Stegostoma tigrinum: one gene and its partner. The protein of the gene in region 1 interacts with the protein of each later gene in a biochemical or structural test. Links are inferred from orthologs where the notes say so. Each region holds a gene or a part of one and is shown on either strand. Other genes may lie near its edges.

Evidence for each region. The genes of interacting proteins can lie anywhere in the genome.
Region 2: the proteins of E3 SUMO-protein ligase PIAS3-like (region 1) and microphthalmia-associated transcription factor-like form a complex in vitro, tested with the Homo sapiens proteins (2 studies listed by BioGRID). The link is inferred for Stegostoma tigrinum from reciprocal best matches to the Homo sapiens genes PIAS3 and MITF.

The regions. Positions count from the first base shown.
Region 1 is NC_081400.1:478,136-488,322, forward strand, and holds the start of E3 SUMO-protein ligase PIAS3-like, read left to right. Parts: upstream 1-5,262; 5' UTR 5,263-5,347; coding exon of another isoform or gene 5,348-5,354; coding exon 5,355-5,371; intron 5,372-7,630; coding exon 7,631-8,106; intron 8,107-8,931; coding exon 8,932-9,016; intron 9,017-9,785; coding exon 9,786-9,836; intron 9,837-10,187. UniProt on the Homo sapiens protein: Functions as an E3-type small ubiquitin-like modifier (SUMO) ligase, stabilizing the interaction between UBE2I and the substrate, and as a SUMO-tethering factor.
Region 2 is NC_081364.1:42,889,678-42,899,291, reverse strand, and holds the start of microphthalmia-associated transcription factor-like, read left to right. Parts: upstream 1-5,749; 5' UTR 5,750-5,948; coding exon 5,949-6,052; intron 6,053-9,614. UniProt on the Homo sapiens protein: Transcription factor that acts as a master regulator of melanocyte survival and differentiation as well as melanosome biogenesis.

The sequences.
Region 1 (10,187 bases):
CCCTAAGGCTTTCTACAGGTATTTAAGGAATAAAAGAATGATGAAAGTAAGATTAGGTCCAATCAAGGATAGTAGTGGGAAGTTGTGTGTGGAGTCAGAGGAGATGGGGAAGCGCTAAATGAATATTTTTCAACAGTATTCACTCTAGAAAACGACAATGTTGTCGAGGAGAATACTGAGATACAGGCTACTAGACTAGGTGGGATTGAGGTTCACAAGGAAAAGGTATTAGAAATCCTTCAGAGGGTGAAGATACATAAGTCCCCGGGCCGGATGGGATTTATCCTCGGATCCTCTGGGAAGCCAGGGAGGAGATTGCCGAGGCTTTGACATTGATCTTTAACTCGTCATTGTCTACAGGAATAGTGCCAGATGACTGGAGGATAGCAAATGTGGTTCCCCTGTTCGAGAAGGGGAGTAGAGACAACCCTGGTAATTATAGACCAGTGAGCCTTACCTCAGTTGTTGGTAAAGGTTATAAGGGGTAGGATTTATAATCATCTAGAAAAGAATAAATTGATTAGGGATAGTCAGCACGGTTTTGTGAAGGGAAGGTCGTGCCTCACAAACCTTATTGAGCTCTTTCAGAAGGTGACCAAACAGGTAGATGAGAGTAAACTGGTTGATGTGGTGTATATGGATTTCAGCAAGGCGTTCGATAAGGTTCCCCACAATAGGCTATTGTACAAAATGCGGAGGAATGGAATTGTGGGAGATATAGCAGTTTGGATCAGAAATTGGCTTGCTGAAAGAAGACAGAGGGTGGTAGTTGATGGGAAATGTTCATCCTGGAGACCAGTTACTAGTGGTGTACCGCAAGGGTCGATGTTGGGTCCACTGCTGTTTGTCATTTTTATAAATGACCTGGATGAGGGCGTAGAAGGATGGGTTAGTAAATTTGCAGATGACACTAAGGTCAGTGGAGTTGTGGATAGTGAAGAAGGATGCTGTAGGTTACAGAGAGACATAGATAAGCTGCAGAGCTGGTCTGAGAGGTGGCAAATGGAGATTAATGCGGACAAATGTGAGGTGATGCACTTAGGTAGGAGTAACTGGAAGGCAAAGTACTGGGCTAATCGTAAGATTCTTGGTAGTGTAGATGTGCAGAGAGATCTTGGTGTCCATGTACACAGATCCTTGAAAGTTGCCACCCAGGTTGACAGGGCTGTTAAGAAGACATACAGTGTTTTAGCTTTTATTAATAGAGGGATCAAGTTCCGGAACCAAGAATTTATGCTGCAGCTGTACAAAACTCTGGTGCGGCCGCACTTGGAGTATTGCGTACAGTTCTGGTCACCACATTATAAGAAGGATGTGCAAGCTTTGGAAAGGGTGCAGAGGAAATTTACTAGGATGTTGCCTGGTATGGAGGGAAGGTGTTGTGAGGAAAGGCTGAGGGACTTGAGGCTGTTTTCATTAGAGAGAAGAAGGTTCAGAGGTGACTTAATTGAAACATATAAAATAATCAGAGGGTTAGATAGGGTGGATAGGGAGAGCCTTTTACCTGGGATGGTGACAGTGAGCACGAGGGGGCATAGCTTTAAATTGAGGGGTGAAAGATATAGTTCAGATGTCAGAGGTAGTTTCTTTACTCAGAGTAGTAAGGGAATGGAGGCTTTGCCTGCAACGGTAGTAGATTCGCCAACTTTAGGTACATTTAAGTCGTCATTGGATAAGCATATGGACGTACATGGAATAGTGTAGGTTAGATGGGCTTGAGATTGGTATGACAGGTCGGCACAACATCGAGGGCCGAAGGGCCTGTGCTGTGCTGTAATGTTGTATGTTCTATGTTCCACCAACCTTAAGTGTCGTCTGCAAACTTACTAACCCATCCTTCTACACCCTCATCCAGGTCATTTATAAAAATGACGAACAGCAGTGGACCTAACATCGACCCTTGCGGTACACCACTAGTAACTGGTCTTCAGGATGAACATTTCCCTTCAACTACCACCCTCTGTCTTCTTTCAGCAAGCCAATTTCTGATCCAAACTGCTATATCTCCCACAATCCCATTCCTCCGCATTTTGTATGATAGCCTACTGTGGGGAACCTTATCGAACGCCTTGCTGAAATCCATATACACCACATCAACCGGTTTACTCTCATCTACCTGTTTGGTCACCTTCTCAAAGAACTCAATAAGGTTTGTGAGGCACGACCTACCCTTCACAAAATCGTGCTGACTATCCCTAATCAATTTATTCTTTTCTAGATGATTATAAATCCCATCTCTTATAACCTTTTCCAACACTTTACCAACAACTGAGGTAAGGCTCACTGGTCTATAATTACCAGGGTTGTCTCTACTCCCCTTCTCGAACAGGGGAACCACATTTGCTATCCTCCAGTCATCTGGCACTATTCCTGTAGACAATGACGAGTTAAAGATCAATGTCAAAGGCTCGGCAATCTCCTCCCTGGCTTCCCAGGGGATCCTAGGATAAATACCATCCAGCCCAAGGGACTTATCTATCTTCACCCTCTGTAGGATTTCTAATGCCTCTTCCTTGTGAACCTCAATCCCACCTAGTCTAGTAGCCTGTGTCTCAGTATTCTCCTCAACAACATTGTTGTTTTCTAGAGTGAATACTGTCGAAAAATATTCATTTAGTGCTTTCCCTATCTCCTCTGACTCCACACACAACTTCCCACTACTATCCTTGTTTGGACCTAATCTTAGTCTCGTCATTCTTTTATTCCTTCAATACCTATAGAAAGCCTTAGGGTTTACCCTGATCCTATCCGCCAACAACTTCTCATGTCTTCTCCTGGTTCTTCTGAGCGCTCTCTTTAGGTCTTTCTTGGCTACCTTGTAACCCTCAAGCACCCTAACTGAGCCTTCACATCTCATCCTAACATAAGCCTTCTTCTTCCTCTTGACCAGAGATTCCATTTCCTTCGTAAACCACGGCTCCCGCGCTCTACAGCTTCCTTAACCAAATATCTTGAACTGTACCCACATCCAATACTTCCTCTGGAAGTTCATTCCTCAGACAGTATTAAAATATAATCTCTCTGGTAACCTTTTCTTTCAGCTTTGCCCCTTCCATACCTAGTTTGGTCATTGTCTCGCTTTGTTCATGCCCATTAACTTATCTCCATTGTCCAGAACCCATGGTCTGGATTTTATATGACCACATGGGGCAAAGGGAGTGGCAGAGTATGAGATCAGCCTGTTGAACCTGGATCCCTATTGTGTTATCAAAATTGATGTGGTTCGACAGCCTGTAATCCCAGCAATAGTCACAGGTCCCAATGTTCTCTACTAGAACTGCAGGGCTGCCAGCCATGGAATCGGCGACAACTCACTAAAATGGAACTCCCTTCCAAGAACTAAGAATTTAAGACTATAATGTATGGGAGCAGAGGTAGGCCATTCTGCCCAATCCGCCTGCTCCACAATTCAATAAGATCATAGCTAATCTGATTATCAGTCTAATCAGGATTAACAGTCTAGTACCACCAGATCACTTCCTGCCTTATCTCCTTTGATTCTCTAAGGAAATTATAAATTTCTCTCTCGGCCTTAGACCATAAGGTATAGGAGAAAACTTAGGCCATGTGGCCCATCAAGTCTGCTTCATCGTTTGATCATAGCTGATATGTTTCTCAATTTCATTCTCCTGCCTTCTCCCCATAACTCTCAATTTCCTTGCTAATTAAGAACCTCTCTGTCTTACATACAATCAATGACTTGGCCTCCAGAGCCTTCTGCAGCAATCAGTTCCACAGATTCGCCACACTCTAGTTGGAAAAATTTCCCTTCATCTCAATTCTAAAGGGCTATACTCTGAGGCTTGCTCTTGGGTCCTAGTCTCTCCTACTAGTGGGAACATCTCCATGTCCACTTTAATCAGGTCTCTCAGTATTCTACAAGTTTCAAACAGATCCCATCTCATCCTTCTAAGCTAGACGTAGAGCCCTTCATCCCTAGAATCATTCTTGTAAACTTCCTCTGGATTATCTCCAATGCCAGCATATCCTTCCTGAAACTTGGGACCCAAAACAGAACAAACCACCGCAGGAAGTGACAGAGGCAGGGACTGTCACAGCATTTAAAACATATTTAGATAGATACAGGAATATAATGATTTAGTTCAGTTTGTGAAACCTGTTTGACATGGATTAGTTGGACCAAAGAGTCTGTTTCCATCCTATATTACTCCATTACAATATTTCAGTTGCGGTCTGACCAGAGCTTTATACAGTCTAAGCCATATGCCTCTGCTCTTGTATTCTAACCTTCTCAGTCATACAGCATGGAAACAGACCCTTCCGTTTAACCCATCCACGCTGATCAGACATTCCAATCCGGCCTAGTCCCATTTGCCAGTATCTGTCCCATATCCCCAAATCCCGTCCTATTCATGTACCCATCCAGATGTTTTGTAGTAATTGTAATTTTGTAGTAATGTTGTAATTGTACCCACACCTATCACTTCCTCTAGCTGCTCGTTCCATACATGCATGACCCTCTGCGTGAAAAATTTATCTCTCCGGTCATTTTTATATTTTATCCCTCTCACCTTAAACCTATGCCCTCTACTTTATATTATGTGCAGTTTTGGGCTCCTTTTCTGAGGAAGTATGTCCTGTTTTCGAGGGAGTGCAGCGAACCCCCAAACCCGCTCCTCCAATTTTCTGATAATTCTCACTTTCTCTGTGCTGATAATTTTTTTTCTTTCTTTCATTCCAGTTTTACACCTCCTTCCCGCCCAAAAGAAACTCGCGCGCCCAACGGCACTGGAGAACAGGCCCCGCCCTCTCAGTGGCCCCGCCTTCTCCAACAGCTCCCTTCACTCGGCTCCTCTCCCCGCGGCAGGACCACACCTCGCTACCCAAAGACCCGCCCCCCACACCACAGCCACGCCCGCTACATGGACCACGCCCTCAAAAGTTCGACAACCCAAGTTTACCCCATGCTGACAAAGTGTTGAAGCTGGATGAACACAGCGGGCCAAGCAGCATCTCAGGAGCACAAAAGTTGACGTTTCGGGCCAAGACCCTTCATCAGAGAGGGTTGATGAAGGGTCTCGGCCCAAAACGTCAGCTTTTGTGCTCCTGAGATGCTGCTTGGCCTGCTGTGTTCATCCAGCTCCACACTTTGTTATCTTGGATTCTCCAGCATCTGCAGTTCCCTTTATCTCTGATCACAATTTGCCCCATTCTCCACGGCCAGCTCCACCCGCCCTCCCTCCAACTGGCGCACCCCGCAGGCCCCTCCCTCTTATTAACACGCACCGCTGTCTCGCCCGTTCATCCAGACCACGCCCATATTGCGTCGCCTGCGTGATGATGTCAGCGGGGAGAGGTGGGCCCGGGGTCGAGGCGATGCCCGGAGATGGCGGATGACGGGGAATTGCGGGTCAGTATTAGGAGGTCTCGGGAGGGAGAGGGAGAGCGAGCGGGAGGGACGGGGTTGTTCTCTGCAGTGGTGGCACCGGGTGGAGCCAGCTGTCGATGTTGATCGAGCAGAAGGAAAGCATTCCCCCCACTAACCACAGCGAACTGGCCCGAGCGCGGAGGCGCGCGTCGGGGGAACGACCGTCGTGGGCGCGCCTGGAGGGCTCTCCGTAACAGAGCAGGCCCCCACCCCAAACCTCACCCTAAATCATGCCCCACACATACTACTGGTTCCCTCTTAAATTCACTGACACTCCCTCCCGCACCAAAACAAGCGCACGACACCCCTCCTCACTGACACTTATCCTACTGATGACAGCCCCCACTCTGACCCCATCCTTCCCAATGACCCTCCGCTCCCCCGCCACAGCGACCTGCCATTCGCCCTTCTGATCCCCTACCGACCCCCTTCCCAACCATCATATCGATACACCCTCACACTGACACAACTTCACCTCCCCCCCCCACCACGGACACCCCTACCCCACACTGACACACCATCACCCCCCTCCAAACTGACACACCTCTTCCACCCCCCCCACACACTGACCTGTCATCCTCTCTGCTGACCCCCTACCCCTCACCAACCCCCTCTCCCCATGCTGACATGCCCCCACTGCCCTGCTGGCAGTCCTCCCATCCTGACAATCTGGCATCTTCCGCACGACCCCCCGCCACCCCCCACCAAGCCCCCAAAACTTCCATAAACACTCTTATTCTCAACTACATCCCTTTCCCCAGGTCTGTTGATATGCCATCCCTTTTCCAACACCGTCACCAACCACTCCTCCATACTTCCTGTTTGCAGCTGCTTTCCACCACTTCCAGCTTTCATTCCCTCACCCCAACAGTCACACTTAGAACATAGAACAGTACAGCACAGAACAGGCCCTTCAGCCCACAATGTTGTGCCGACCATTGATCCTCATGTATGCACCCTCAAATTTCTGTGACCATATACAGGTCCAGCAGTCTCTTAAACGACCCCAATGACCTTGCTTCCACAACTGCTGCCGGCAACGCATTCCATGCTCTCACAACTCTCTGCGTAAAGAACCTGCCTCTGACATCCCCTCTATACTTTCCACCAACCAGCTTAAAACTATGACCCCTCGTGCTAGCCATTTCTGCCCTGGGAAATAGTCTCTGGCTATCAACTCTATCTATGCCTCTCATTATCTTGTATACCTCAATTAGGTCCCCTCTCCTCCTCCTTTTCTCCAATGAAAAGAGACTGAGCTCAGTCAACCTCTCTTCATAAGATAAGCCCTCCAGTCCAGGCAGCATCCTGGTAAACCTCCTCTGAACCCTCTCCAAAGCATCCACATCTTTCCTATAATACGGCGACCAGAACTGGACGCAGTATTCCAAGTGCGGTCTAACCAAAGTTTTATAGAGCTGCAACAAGATCTCACGACTCAAACTCAATCTCCCTGTTAATGAAAGCCAAAACACCATATGCTTTCTTAACAACCCTGTCCACTTGGGTGGCCATTTTAAGGGATCTATGTATCTGCACACCAAGATCCCTCTGTTCCTCCACGCTGCCAAGAATCCTATCCTTAATCCTGTACTCTGCTTTCAAATTCGACCTTCCAAAATGCATCACCTCGCATTTATCCAGGTTGAACTCCATCTGCCACCTCTCAGCCCATCTCTGCATCCTGTCAATGTCCCGCTGCAGCCTACAACAGCCCTCTACACTGTCAACGACACCTCCGACCTTTGTGTCGTCTGCAAACTTGCTGACCCATCCTTCAATCCCCTCATCCAAGTCATTAATAAAAATTACAAACAGTAGAGGCCCAAGGACAGAGCCCTGTGGAACCCCACTCACCACTGACTTCCAGGCAGAATATTTTCCTTCTACTACCACTCGCTGTCTTCTGTTGGCCAGCCAATTCTGTATTACCAAAAGCCGCAGCAACATCCACATTGTTCCCACCCACCAAACCATTTACCTGGCATCTCGTTGCTCACACTGATAAATTCATCTCTTGCTTGATGCCCCCACTTTTCAACACTGATGCAAAACTATCCCCTGGCCCTGCAGCCCCCACCTTTTCAGCATTCTCCACCCTGCCTCTCTGCCCTACCTTTTCCCCACTCTAACAGATTCTGAGGAAGGGTCAATAGATCCAAAATGTTAATTCTGATTTCTCTACACAGCTGCTGCCAGACTTGCTGAGCTTTTCTAGCAACTTGTTTTTGTTTCTAACAGATTCTCTGTTTTGCAGCACATGGTGATGAGCTTTAGAGTGTCGGAACTACAAGTGCTGCTGGGATTCTCTGGCCGGAACAAGACAGGCCGTAAACACGAGCTGTTGACCAAAGTGCTGTACATGCTGAAGTCTGGCTGCAGTCCAGCTGTGCACATGAAAATTAAAGAGCTCTACAGGCGTCGCTTCCCTCGCAAGAGCCACACCACCATGGAGTTGCCTTTACTATCTGTCCAGAACGCCGTGGCTCACCCTTCAGCCAGTGCATCTCTGGCTCTTGGCAGCAATCCACAGCTTCACTACAGTACCTCTGCTGCCTCGGCCTTGGTGTCCCCACTGTTGTCGCCCCTCAGCATGCTCACTCCCAAGCGAGAATTAGATTTACAACATCTGTCCCCCCCAGTGCATCCAGACGTCAAAATGAGGAGGCTGCCATTTTATGACATCTACGATGAGCTGACCAAACCAACCACATTAGGTAAGGCCGTGGTGATGAATGGCCTGGGGGCTTGGAGGGGAAGATATGGGGTGGGATGGAAGTTGATGGATTTGGAAGGATTGATATTGTTGACCAGTGGTCGTTCTGTGCCCAGCACGCCTGGAATTTGATGGGACCTCCTGTTTGGTCTGAAGATAAGGTAAAGGTAAAATTGCTATAGTCTTACCAGACTATAGGGCTGCTCCCTCATTTGAGAGAGACAACTGCTGGTGGTTTAACCTGAGGTAAGGGGAGAGATTGTGAAGCAGAGTCCTTCATGGTAACCTCAGCTGTTTCAGGAACTGAACCCACACTGTTGGCACCTGTCTGCATCACAAACTGACTGTCCAGCCAACTGAGACAAACATTGCAGTTCTTCATAAGCAGGAGGGCATTTCAGAGGAACCAGAACGAAAATTGGACCTGGCTACCAATGATGCAGCATGTGCAGAATTGCCTGTAGCCATATATGGCAGTGTGTTATGGTAAGGACAACTTTGATCTCACTCCAAAGAAAGTCAGTCGGTCAGTGAGAGCAGCACAAGAGGAGGAAACAGTGAGGGGTGGGAAGGAGAGAGTAGTGAGGGTTGGGGTGGTGAAGGAAGGAAGGGAGAATTCTTCAGAATTAAACTAGAAATGTTAACTCTGCTTTCTGTCCGCACATGCTGCCTGACTTGCTGAATTTCTCCGGCAATTGCTGTTTATGTTTCAGATTTCCAGCTTCTGTGGTTCTTTGTTCCATTTTAGTTTCACGGGCCTATATTGTTTCTTGATGATGATGAGGCGGTGTTTCCATTGTATCCTTTCTGCTTTCTTTTTTTACAGTATCAAGTAATGGGCAACGATTTGAGGAAGCTGTTGTTACGTTTGCATTGACCCCACAGCAAGTTCAACAGATTTGCTCATCCAGGTGAGAGTGTGAAAATGGACAAAACCTTTCACCCAAACAATAAGCTATCAGAGAGACACTTTTTCAGAAGCGTGAATTGACTGTGTGAGGGATAGGGTCTGAGGAGGTGGAGGCAAACAGACAGCAGTGAGAGTATGATGTGAGGAAGAGTGGCTAGAGGTTGGAGAGTATGGTTGGGTGAGAGAGATATTTGCTCTTGTACAGATCTGTCAAGGACTTTTTGTGTCCCTGTCTCTGAAACAGGAGGCCCAGGTTCCAGTCCCTCTAGTTCCAGGGCTGTGTAATGACATCTGGAACCAGGTTGGTTAGAAAATATTTCCACTTGTGGAAGGCATTGATTGGATAGCTGCTTAAGCATATTTGAAATGAAATTTTAAGTTTTGTTTGAACATTTGATTTTTGTTGCAGTTGCCCCATAAAGGTTTGTCACCTTTTAATTCGGTTTAGTTTATTTAATTGATTTTAAAAGTATAAAGAAATACATAATAATGACTCAGCATATATACTTGTAATGGTTCATACTCGCTGAATAAATCCATTCCATGTAAAGGCTGGCTGTGGTTTCTTCCTTTGCCAATGGATGATGAAGAGTTTAATTGAAAGGACTGAATGGTTGCCTCCTATGCTGTAACAATATTTTTGATTCTGCACAATGAATAAACCAAGCAGCAATGTATCTTGATGCTGCATTTCCTCACTAATCCTTATGAAGCAGCATAGATTTTTATTTTGAGGAGCAGTTTTACTCAATCGGTTTTCTTCCTTTCAGAGATTTGTTACTTGGAGCAAAAGGCGATCACACAGTCCAAGTGCAACTGAGGTAAGGCCTTGGAGGGATTCTTTAGTAGCTTGCTAGGTGGTGAGAGTGTTCTCTTTCTCAGTCAGAATGTTGCAGAGAATGGCAAACAATGCTACTTGAGCAGTCGTTTTCATCTGCCTTTGATTTCTGTCAGCTGGATGTGTCCGGAGCTGACTTGGCCTCTCAGGGCCTGTATGATGGGAATGAGCTGCTGAAAGATGGGGAGATATTCCCATCCATTTCATTGTGTTTGTTTTTAAGCTCATTAATAAGATGTATGAACATTGCTGGCTAGGCAAGCATTTCTTGCCCAGAGGGTAGTTAAGAGTTAACCGTATTGCTGTGTGTTTGGAGTCACAAGTCGGCTAGGCC
Region 2 (9,614 bases), on another chromosome or scaffold:
TACCACTCTTGCCACTTGATGCTATTCCATCGTTGTGGTCATACCTTTGGGGCCCCGCTTTGCCAGAAATGCAGTGTGTACCTCCAGTCAACCAGCTTCATTGTAGTCGCAATAACAGAAGTTGTTGCAAAAGCTCAGCAGGTCTGGCAGCATCTATGAAGGGAAGTCAGAGTTAACATTTCCAATCCAGTGACCCTTCTTCAGATGAGTGATTAGGGATTCAGTTATGTTGCTATCCAAGAGTTAAGCTGGGGTTTCTCAGTCTAACATTTGCTGGGTAACTACATGATAAATATGTGGAATTGCCCAAAGTATCCAATCTGACCCAGACTTGGACACTTTTGTGAAGTAGATGAGTTGGTCATCAGGAGTTCAAATTTCTCAATCCATATCCCAAAGATGTCAACTTGGCAAGGTCTCGAGGTGCATCTTGACTCATATGCCTTGTCTCTGACAAACCAGAGACTAAAGGTCTGGGCCAAGAGACTCCAAAAAGGTTTAAGCATAACTTTGAAAAAAACATGTTATTAATAAGTTGATTATTGTACTCCAAAACAATTAGGGAACAGTTCTGTAAAATTCTGGAAAAAGTTGTTTTCAGTCATTTAAAATTTGGTTACACACAGATGATGGAATAATATTGTGACCAAGAAGTTATTTGTGTAACAAATTTGTTTTCAGCTGTATTTATCAAACTACATCATGATACCTTTCTGAAATACATCGAGAGCTATTCACCTGAAAGTGTTGGTGCACTGGAGATTTTGAGTGAAAACACAAGACAAAAAATCCACTTTTTAAAACAAGCATCTGTTTGGGTACCATTTGCACCCTTTTACCATTTGTGCCGATTTTACTGATTGTGTTCAATCAGAAATTCTACCCATGTGGTGAACTAATAAGTGTGGAATTGGATATAAAATCCAAATTATGATGATTAATTTGTGGATGAACAGACTTCAGCTGAGATCTATAATTCTACATTTTTAAAATGTGTTTTAATTGTCCTACATGCGTAAAACCCCTTGAAGTAACTGAAGCAGGAAACCATCCATCTTCTTTCTGTGTGCACAACCAGCTTTATTTTTGCAATACTACATTTGCTGACTCTTGCAGCTTTGGCTATACACTATTCTGCTGATAATGCTCATTTTGCTACTCTGTATCTGCAGCTATTTGTGAACTAAAACAAGGAAGACACTATTTTCTGTTTCAAGCTTTTTGTGCCTCAAAGTGATATCACATTGTTTGCACCTACAATTTGGATTTCCTGTTGGTATCATTCTTTGAAAAATATATTTTATGTCTATCTGTGAGGGCAGGTAGAGCCTCAGTTTAATATCTCATGCAAAAACCAAGCCTTCACAAGTGGAGCGGTCCCTCAGGGCTGCATTGAAGGAAACACAACCATTTGAAAAGCCTGTGGTGAACTATGATGGATAAAAAAACTGTTTGATCTTATTTTTGATCATTAGCTTAATTTTGTTTTGCAATTGAATTGAAAGCTAAATGATTCAATATTATGATGTAAAATTGAATCAAAATTAACAGCAAAAACCTCTATTTCTGCAAATGATGCTTTGGACCACAATTTATTGTTAGAACTTGCTGTCTTATCATCCTTAAAGTAATATAACTCTGTACGTGATTTGATCCATTCAAGGGTAGCAGTTTGTTCAAACTGTTTTGAGGAGGTTTGCAGTTTGCAACATTGACTGCTTAGACATGTAATTAAAGTTTACAATTTGTTAGAATTCTTACCATCTATCTGGAAGTCGTTTCTAATCTATACCTATTTCGTTTTTACGATTGCCTCATTTAGTGCTGTTAACAAGGCAACAAGCAATTCTGTAAACAGTGAGACTGAAATAATCTGGAGCTATCCAGCATTCTGTTGACTAGGTGGTGTTTAGGTATCAATATTTATTCATCAGATGCCTATTCATATCTCACATTCATAACACTGTGCTCTCCATCTCAAGTTCTGTAAGCTTCAAATGATATCAACTGTTTTTTCTGGATAAATAATTTTAACCCGAGACACAGCAGTTTATTAGTATAGGTATCTGCAACAATATTTCCCCTCTACTTAGGCATTTTGAACAGTAAAGTTAATTAGTCAGTTAGAAGGGACTAAATCAAAACCAATTAGTTCCCCCGATTGGCATTCTATAAAACAGTATATCTAGATCGTATACATGTGCAACAGTAATTTCTTTCACTGAAATTACAAATACTAACGCTGCACAAATAAAGCATCTGAATTGGTGATTGACGTGCTATGAAGATTATGAAGCATTTAGAAAAACATTTCCTTTGTTGAGATTTTTGTTGTTATGGTTTCATGTATCTGCTCTGATGGAAAATTAACAAAGCTACAGAAATTAGTATTTCTGAGCTTTTTGAAACTTCAACAGGTGAAGTTTAAAGTGTTTTCCAAAGAGTGATGGTTGAAGGTTTTTTTTTGGACTGGAGACCTGTAACTAGCAATCGGTGCTGAGTCCACTTTTGTTTGTCATTTATATAAATGTTTAGATGACAATATAAAAAGTATGGTTAGTAAGTTTGTGGATGACACCAAGAATGGTGGTAAAAGTGCATAGTGAAGAAGGTTGTCTAAGATTACAAAGAGATTTGATCAATTGGGTCAGTGGGCTGAAGAATGGCATGTGGAGTTTAATTTGGATAAATGCAAGGCATTACATTTTGGAGAAACAAGCACAAACAATACTTATATAATTAAAAGTAGGGCGTTCGGCAGTGTTGTAGAACAGATAGATGTAGGAATTCAGGTACATAATTTTTTGAAGTTTGCATCACATATAGATGAGGTGGTCAAGAAGGCATTTAGCATGCTTGCCTACATTGCTCAGTCCTTTGAATACAGGAGTTAGGATGTTATTTTGAGGAGGTACAGGACATTGGCGAGGCCTTTTCTGGAGTACTGTGCACAGCTCTGATTGCCCTATTATACCAAGGATACTATTAAGATGGAGAGAGTTTAGAAGATAGTTACCAGGATGTTGCCAGGGATGGAAGGTTTGAGTTGTTAAGAGAGGCCAGGACTTTTTTTCATGAGAGCATAGGAGGTTGAGAGGTGACCTTATAGAGGTTTATAAAATAATGTGGGGTATAGATAAAGTGAATGGCAAGTCTTTTCCTTAGGATGGCGATTTCAAGGCCAGGGGACATATTTTTAAGGTGAGAGGAGAAAGTTTTAAAAAAGATATGATGGTCAACTCTTTTACACAGAGAGTGGTTTTTGTGTGGAATGAGCTTTCAGAGGAAGTGGTGCATGCAGGTTCAGTTACAATGTTTAAAAGACATTTTGATAAGTACATGAATAAGAAATGTTTGGAGGGATATGGGCCAAGTGCAGGCATGTGGGGCAAGTTTAGATAACAAAGTGTGGAGCTGGATGAACACAGCAGGCCAAGCAGCATCTCAGGAGCACAAAAGCTGACGTTTCGGGCCTAGACCCTTCATCAGAGACCCTTCATCCTCTCTGATGAAGGGTCTAGGTGTGAAACGTCAGCTTTTGAGCTCCTGAGATGCTGCATGGCCTGCTGTGTTCATCCAGCTCCACACTTTGTTATCTTGGATTCTCCAGCATCTGCAGTTCCCATTATCACTGGGGCAAGTTTAGTTTGGGATTATGGTTAGTGTGGACCGGTTGGACAGAAGGGTCTGTTTCCATGCTGTATTACTCTGTGCTTACAAGACATTTGCATATATAGGATATACAACACTGAAACAAGCCACTCAGATCAACTCAATCATGCTGGTGATCATGCTCTGCTTGAACCACCACCCATCCTTTCTCATCAATTCTACCAACATATCCATCTATTTCTTTCTCCCTCATACACTTGTCTCACCTCCCCTTAAATCCTTTACATTATTCACTTCAACCATTTCTTATTATAGTGAGTTCCATATTCTCACTATGCTTTGTGTAAAGAAATTTTGTCTGATTACCTATTGAATTTCTGGGTGACCATATTATATTAATTGTCTCTATTTAGGACCTGAGATAGAAATCACAGGTTCAGTCCTGGGACCCGAGCCCAAATCCTCATCTGTCTGTTGGGCATTTAGGAAGTACTGTGCTGCAGCAGCAGTCATATTCAACCACAATCTATGACTTGATAGCTTGGTTTAGCCTTATTTACCAATATAATCAAGCTGCTAGATCTCCTTGGTTCAATAAGGAGCACTGGAGGGTGTGCTAGGAGCAGTAGCAGGCATTTTCAAGAATGAGCTGTCAACCTGATGAAGCTACAACAGAGGACTACTTGCATGATAAACAGTGGAAGCTGAATGTAAGTTGAGTGATTGCAAAACGAAGGGATCAGATCAAAGTTCTGCAGTGCTGTCAATGGATTCCTGAATGGAAGTAGTCAATTAAAGCAGCAACAGGTGCACGGGCTTCTCATATGTCCTTGCCTTCAATGATGGGGCCCATCACTTTATTCAAAAGGAAGCAATGAAGCATTTGAAAACATCTTCATCCAGAGGTGCGATGTACATTATTCATCCTGGCCTCATCTTGGGGTGTCCAGCATCACAGGTGCCAGACATTGGTTAATTCAGTTTAGTCCAAGATATCAAGAAATTACTGAAGGCACTGGATCCTTCAAAAGCTCTGACAACATTTCTTCCCCAAACAAAAGCACTGCAGACTTGCTCTCCGTAACTAGCTGTGCCTCCGGCCATGCCTTTTTCACTCAAGCTGTAATATTGCCATCTACACAGCAATGCAGAAAATTGCCCAAGCAGGTCATATACTGTACGCACATCCCATGAATGAATAAAAACTAATTCCTGCCTTCTTATTGTGTTGTGAAAGGTCAACAATTTGACATGTTAGCTGTTTCCCTTAGTTCTTATCTGATCTCCAACTTTTTTAATTTTAGATTTTCACTATCAGCAGAAATTTGTCCTTGAGCAGGTATTAAAATTACATTATTTGATATATTACATGGTTGCGCACCTCTATATAATTGAGTCCAACAACTTTTGACTTACCGTGAACAGTTATGTGAAAATATGTTCAATTTTACTTGGAGTCAAGATGACCTCATACATCATTAAAGCAATGTTAACTCTACGTCTCGAGCATGCCGTTGGGATAGTGTTTTCCCGTATTTGTATTAGATTGTAATTGAACTATCTACTAGGTGAAATGGAAGAATCAAAATATGGTCTCGTTCCCTTAACCTATTTGCAAGCTCGACCTGAGTTCACAATACGTTTGCTGACGCATCAAAGCGTATTGAGAGAGAGAAAAATAAACGCACATGCTGAGGCTGAGGGACGTCAGAAATCGACATGAAATTGCAAAAAAAAGACAGGCAGCCGGGAGGATTGCGATCCTACAAAGTGAGAAATTGGTCAAAGCAGACAATTCCACTGCGTTGGAATAAGCAAATGCAACACTTCACTCAATGTATTCTCCAGCATTTTCCAGTATTTACCCTTTGATCTGATTGATGCAAACAAATGAAAGTAGAATTTACTGTGCTGGTTTGCTGCAGTAGCCAATAAAACCTGCTGACATTACACTGTACGGGAGCAGCAAGCCGGCCGGTCAGCCAAGGGCACATGCCCCAGCGGCCGGCTCGGGCCGCGACTCGCCACTGGGAGTTGTAGTCCACGCTCTCCGGGGTCTGGGGTCTGGGCGGAGGGAATCGCCGGGCCACGGGGAACTACAACTCCCGGCGGTCCTTTCGAAGCGGAGCCGGGCAGGAGGAGGTGGCGAAGCCTGCGTGGAGACAGCGTCTGTCACTCAGAGAAACTTTGTCTTGTTGACATTTATTGCTGCCGCCGCTCGGATTCTCGCTTCATTTCACACCACCCCTTTTGTGAAGAATCCCGATTTAAATTTTGTAGAGCTCCCAACGCAAACACACTCACACTTACACTCCCCTGCGCTGCGTTCCGCCCCAATGCAGTCTGAGTCGGGAATCGTTCCGGATTTTGAAGTCGGGGAGGAATTTCATGAAGAAGCGAAAACGTTTTACGAGCTGAAGAGTCAGCCCCTGAGCCGCAGGTCAGTGGGGGAAAAGGGGTTAGCGGAGCCGGGCCGGGCTGGGCTGCGGGTGGGGAGTGGTTTGGTTTGCCTGCGCCGGATCACTGTCACTGTCCATGAGCCACTCATCCCTAGCACCAGCCTCCCAGGCCAGGGTAAGGTGCCGGTACCTAGGGGCTGAGCCGGGAGCTGGGTGGGGAGATGCTCATTCGCTGTCACTCCGCACATTCCTCGCACTGTTCCCAAATGTCAACACATCTCACCCTTGAACTGTGCTGGCGGTAGTTACGTTTATTTATAAACGCTGCATACAACAACGTGTTAGTTCTGAGAAGTCTTTTTTTTAAAACACACACACACACACTAAAGTCTGTTAGCGGGGTGTGTACCGAATGGGTAAGAATTTGCTGCCCTGAAGCGCTGAACTTGGAGGCTCTGTCAAGAAGACAGCTCAGTGCAAACGCTTGGCGTCACTTGCTGAAACAGATCCTCGGTGCAACGTTTAAAGCGCAATAACTTCCAAGGTCTCCCCTCTTAATCCCTAACAAAAAGGAGAGAAAATCCCCGCTGATCGGCTTGTGTGAGAATTTCGTTGTTGTTGTGCACGTAATTAAATGGGGAAGTCAAATCTGAGAGGTCGAATAATTGGTTGGTATGTAATAACTATCAGATTTTAACTAATGGAATTCGGACACGTTGCGTATGTGAAACGCTGCACGTTTATGTTGTACGCCTCACCTGGTATCGTCTGCTGGTTTAGACTTGAAAGTAAAAACGTTAGATGAATTGATTTTAAGGAATACCGTCTTGTAAACACATTGCACAATTTATTTTTAGTATTCATGTTGTATGCTACCGAAATATTTACCAGGGTGAACCAGCACTTGAACCATATGGCAAGCACAGATGCTGTGACTAACTCTCTTGGGGTTAATATATGTATAGACAGGGTGTTTCCAAGAACTACATTATTTGTTCAGGTGATACAACACAACAAAAAGAGAAGCCCTACTGAAGTCTTGAGTGTGAACACATTTCTTGTTTTTATCATGAACACTAATTTCTGGATAAGCATTTTTAAAAATTTGGCATCCCTGGTCCCATGTTGCTCGGTCTCATCATTGGTCATATCTTTGCATGATTGTGCGGGAACGTTCAAAACTACATCATGCCTCATTCAGGGTGAAGCGATCCTATGGCCAATGGGTCAGGTCGAAATTCTGTGGCTCTATTCCATCAGTTCCTGAATTGTAATGAACAATTAGACAGCCAACAGAAGACTTCACAAACATCCCCATCTTCAATGAAGTGGATTCCCAGCACACTAGTGCAAAAGACAAGGCTAACACATGTGGAACTATCTTCAGCTGGAAGTACAGAATGGATGATCCACCCTGCCTGCCATCTGAGCTTGCCAACATCACAAATGCCAATTTTCAGTCATTTTTATTCACTCAAATGATAAGATGCATTTATTTCCGATACAGTGGGAAATGCATGGAAACATAACATTGTAATCAAACACTGAGAACTGGCTCACTGAAATCAGTGGACATTACAATATGGCAGAATTTATTTGTCAGTGTGTGGTTTTATTAAAGTTGTAGCACTCTGCTGTTCAAGCAAGAGGTGTGTCTGCAATGAATTAGAAAGCAATGTTAACCTAGAGGCATGTGTACTAAGAGCTCTTGGTGTCTAACTCACCACCTCACTTGTTCTCCTACTCTTTAAGAGACATGCCAAGCCCTGCAATGAGGTGTGTGCCCATCAACGGCTGGGGGTTGGGAAAGGGTGCATGGGCATCTGGTGGTTGGGGCAACATCTAGTGGTGAGCAGCCAGAAGTACCTGTTATGGTGGTGTGATACCAGTGCCACCATTTATAGAAGTGCAGCTTATCAGTGACTAACTTTACCTGCTGTCTTGGCATTGGCAGCATGCACATTGTCAAAAACTGACTGCTGACTGCACTGGATACTACAAAGGCTATGGATCAATAATATTGAAGACTTGTGTTCCAGTGCTAGCTATGTCCTTAGCTAAGTTATTTCAATACAGCTGTAATACTGACATATATCAGACAAGTGAAAAAAATGCCTGGGTATCAATAGAGTGTGGAGCCGGAGGAACACAGCAGGTCAGGCAGCATCAGAGGAACAGGAAAGTCGATGTTTCGGGTTTACACCGTTCATCAGGATTGGTGAAGGGTGTAAACCCGAAACATCGACTTTCCTGCTCCTCTGATGCTGCCTGACCTGCTGTGTTCCTCCGGTTCCACACTGTATTGACTCTGACTCCAGCATCTGTAGTTCTTACTAGCTCCAATTGCCCATGTATGTTCTGTCCACAAAAAAGGCAAATCATAGAAGAATCGTAGAATCCCTACTGTGTGGCAGCAGACCATTCGGCCCATTGAGTCCATAACCGACCCTCTGAAGAGCTCCCACCCACCATCCCTTCCATATGCCCATAACCCTGCATTTCCCTCGGCAAATCTACATAGCATGCACATCTATGGATGCCATCGGCAAATTAGCACACCCAATCCACCTAAGTTTTACATCTTTAGACTGTGGGAGGAAACCGGAGCATCTGGGGGAAGCCTATGCAGACACTGGGAAAATGTGCAAGCTCCACACAGCCACGTGAGATAGTATCGATTCCAGGTCCGTGGTGGTGAGGCAGCAGTGCTAATCACTGAGCCACTGTTCAATCGCCAGTTGTGCTCGAAGTATCACTTTTTCAGCAATATCATGCTCCACTGATGCTTAATTTGAGTTCTGCCTGGGCAACTGGGCTCCAGACTTCATAACAGGAATAGTCCAAACGGGGACAAAAGAAGTGGTGATTTCAGTGTTCGGTACCATTTGCAATTCCTCAGTTACTGAAATCTATATGCAGCAAGACATTTGGTTATACTTCAGGCTCATGGCTAAAATTGTCAGGTGATTGTTGCACTACACAAGTATAATGAAATTACCATTTCCAACATATATGACTAGCTCTTTTTGATATTCAATGTAATTACCATCACAGAATCCTCCTTTACCATCGTTCTGTTGGATATGACTGATCCGAAACTTAACTGGCCCAACTATGTAGATAGTTTGTACATAGATCAGTTCAGAGGCTGGACATTCCAAGGTGAATAACTTATTCTTGACTTGCCATGTCCTATCACCATCTTAAAGGTGTGAATAAGTTGTGGAACTCTCAACTTGCTTGAATAAGTATAGCTCTAACAACAAAGCTTGACATCACCCTGGACAAAACAATGTACTTGACAGGCATCCCATCCACTACCTTCAATATTCACTGTGCTTACCACTGAGGCACAATGCTTGCTATCTGCAAGGCGCGTAGCAGCAACTTATTCATGAGGCCTAGACAGCAACTTTCAAATTTATGACCTCTACCTCCTAGAAAGACAAGGATAACAGATCCATAGACAGACCGCCTGCTAAAAGATTTCCCCAGGCCACATGTCATCTTGACTTGGAACTATATTCCGTCACTGTGACTGGATCAAAATCCTGGAACTCAATTATGCTTACGCTAGATGGTTCAAAACGGTATTTCATCAAC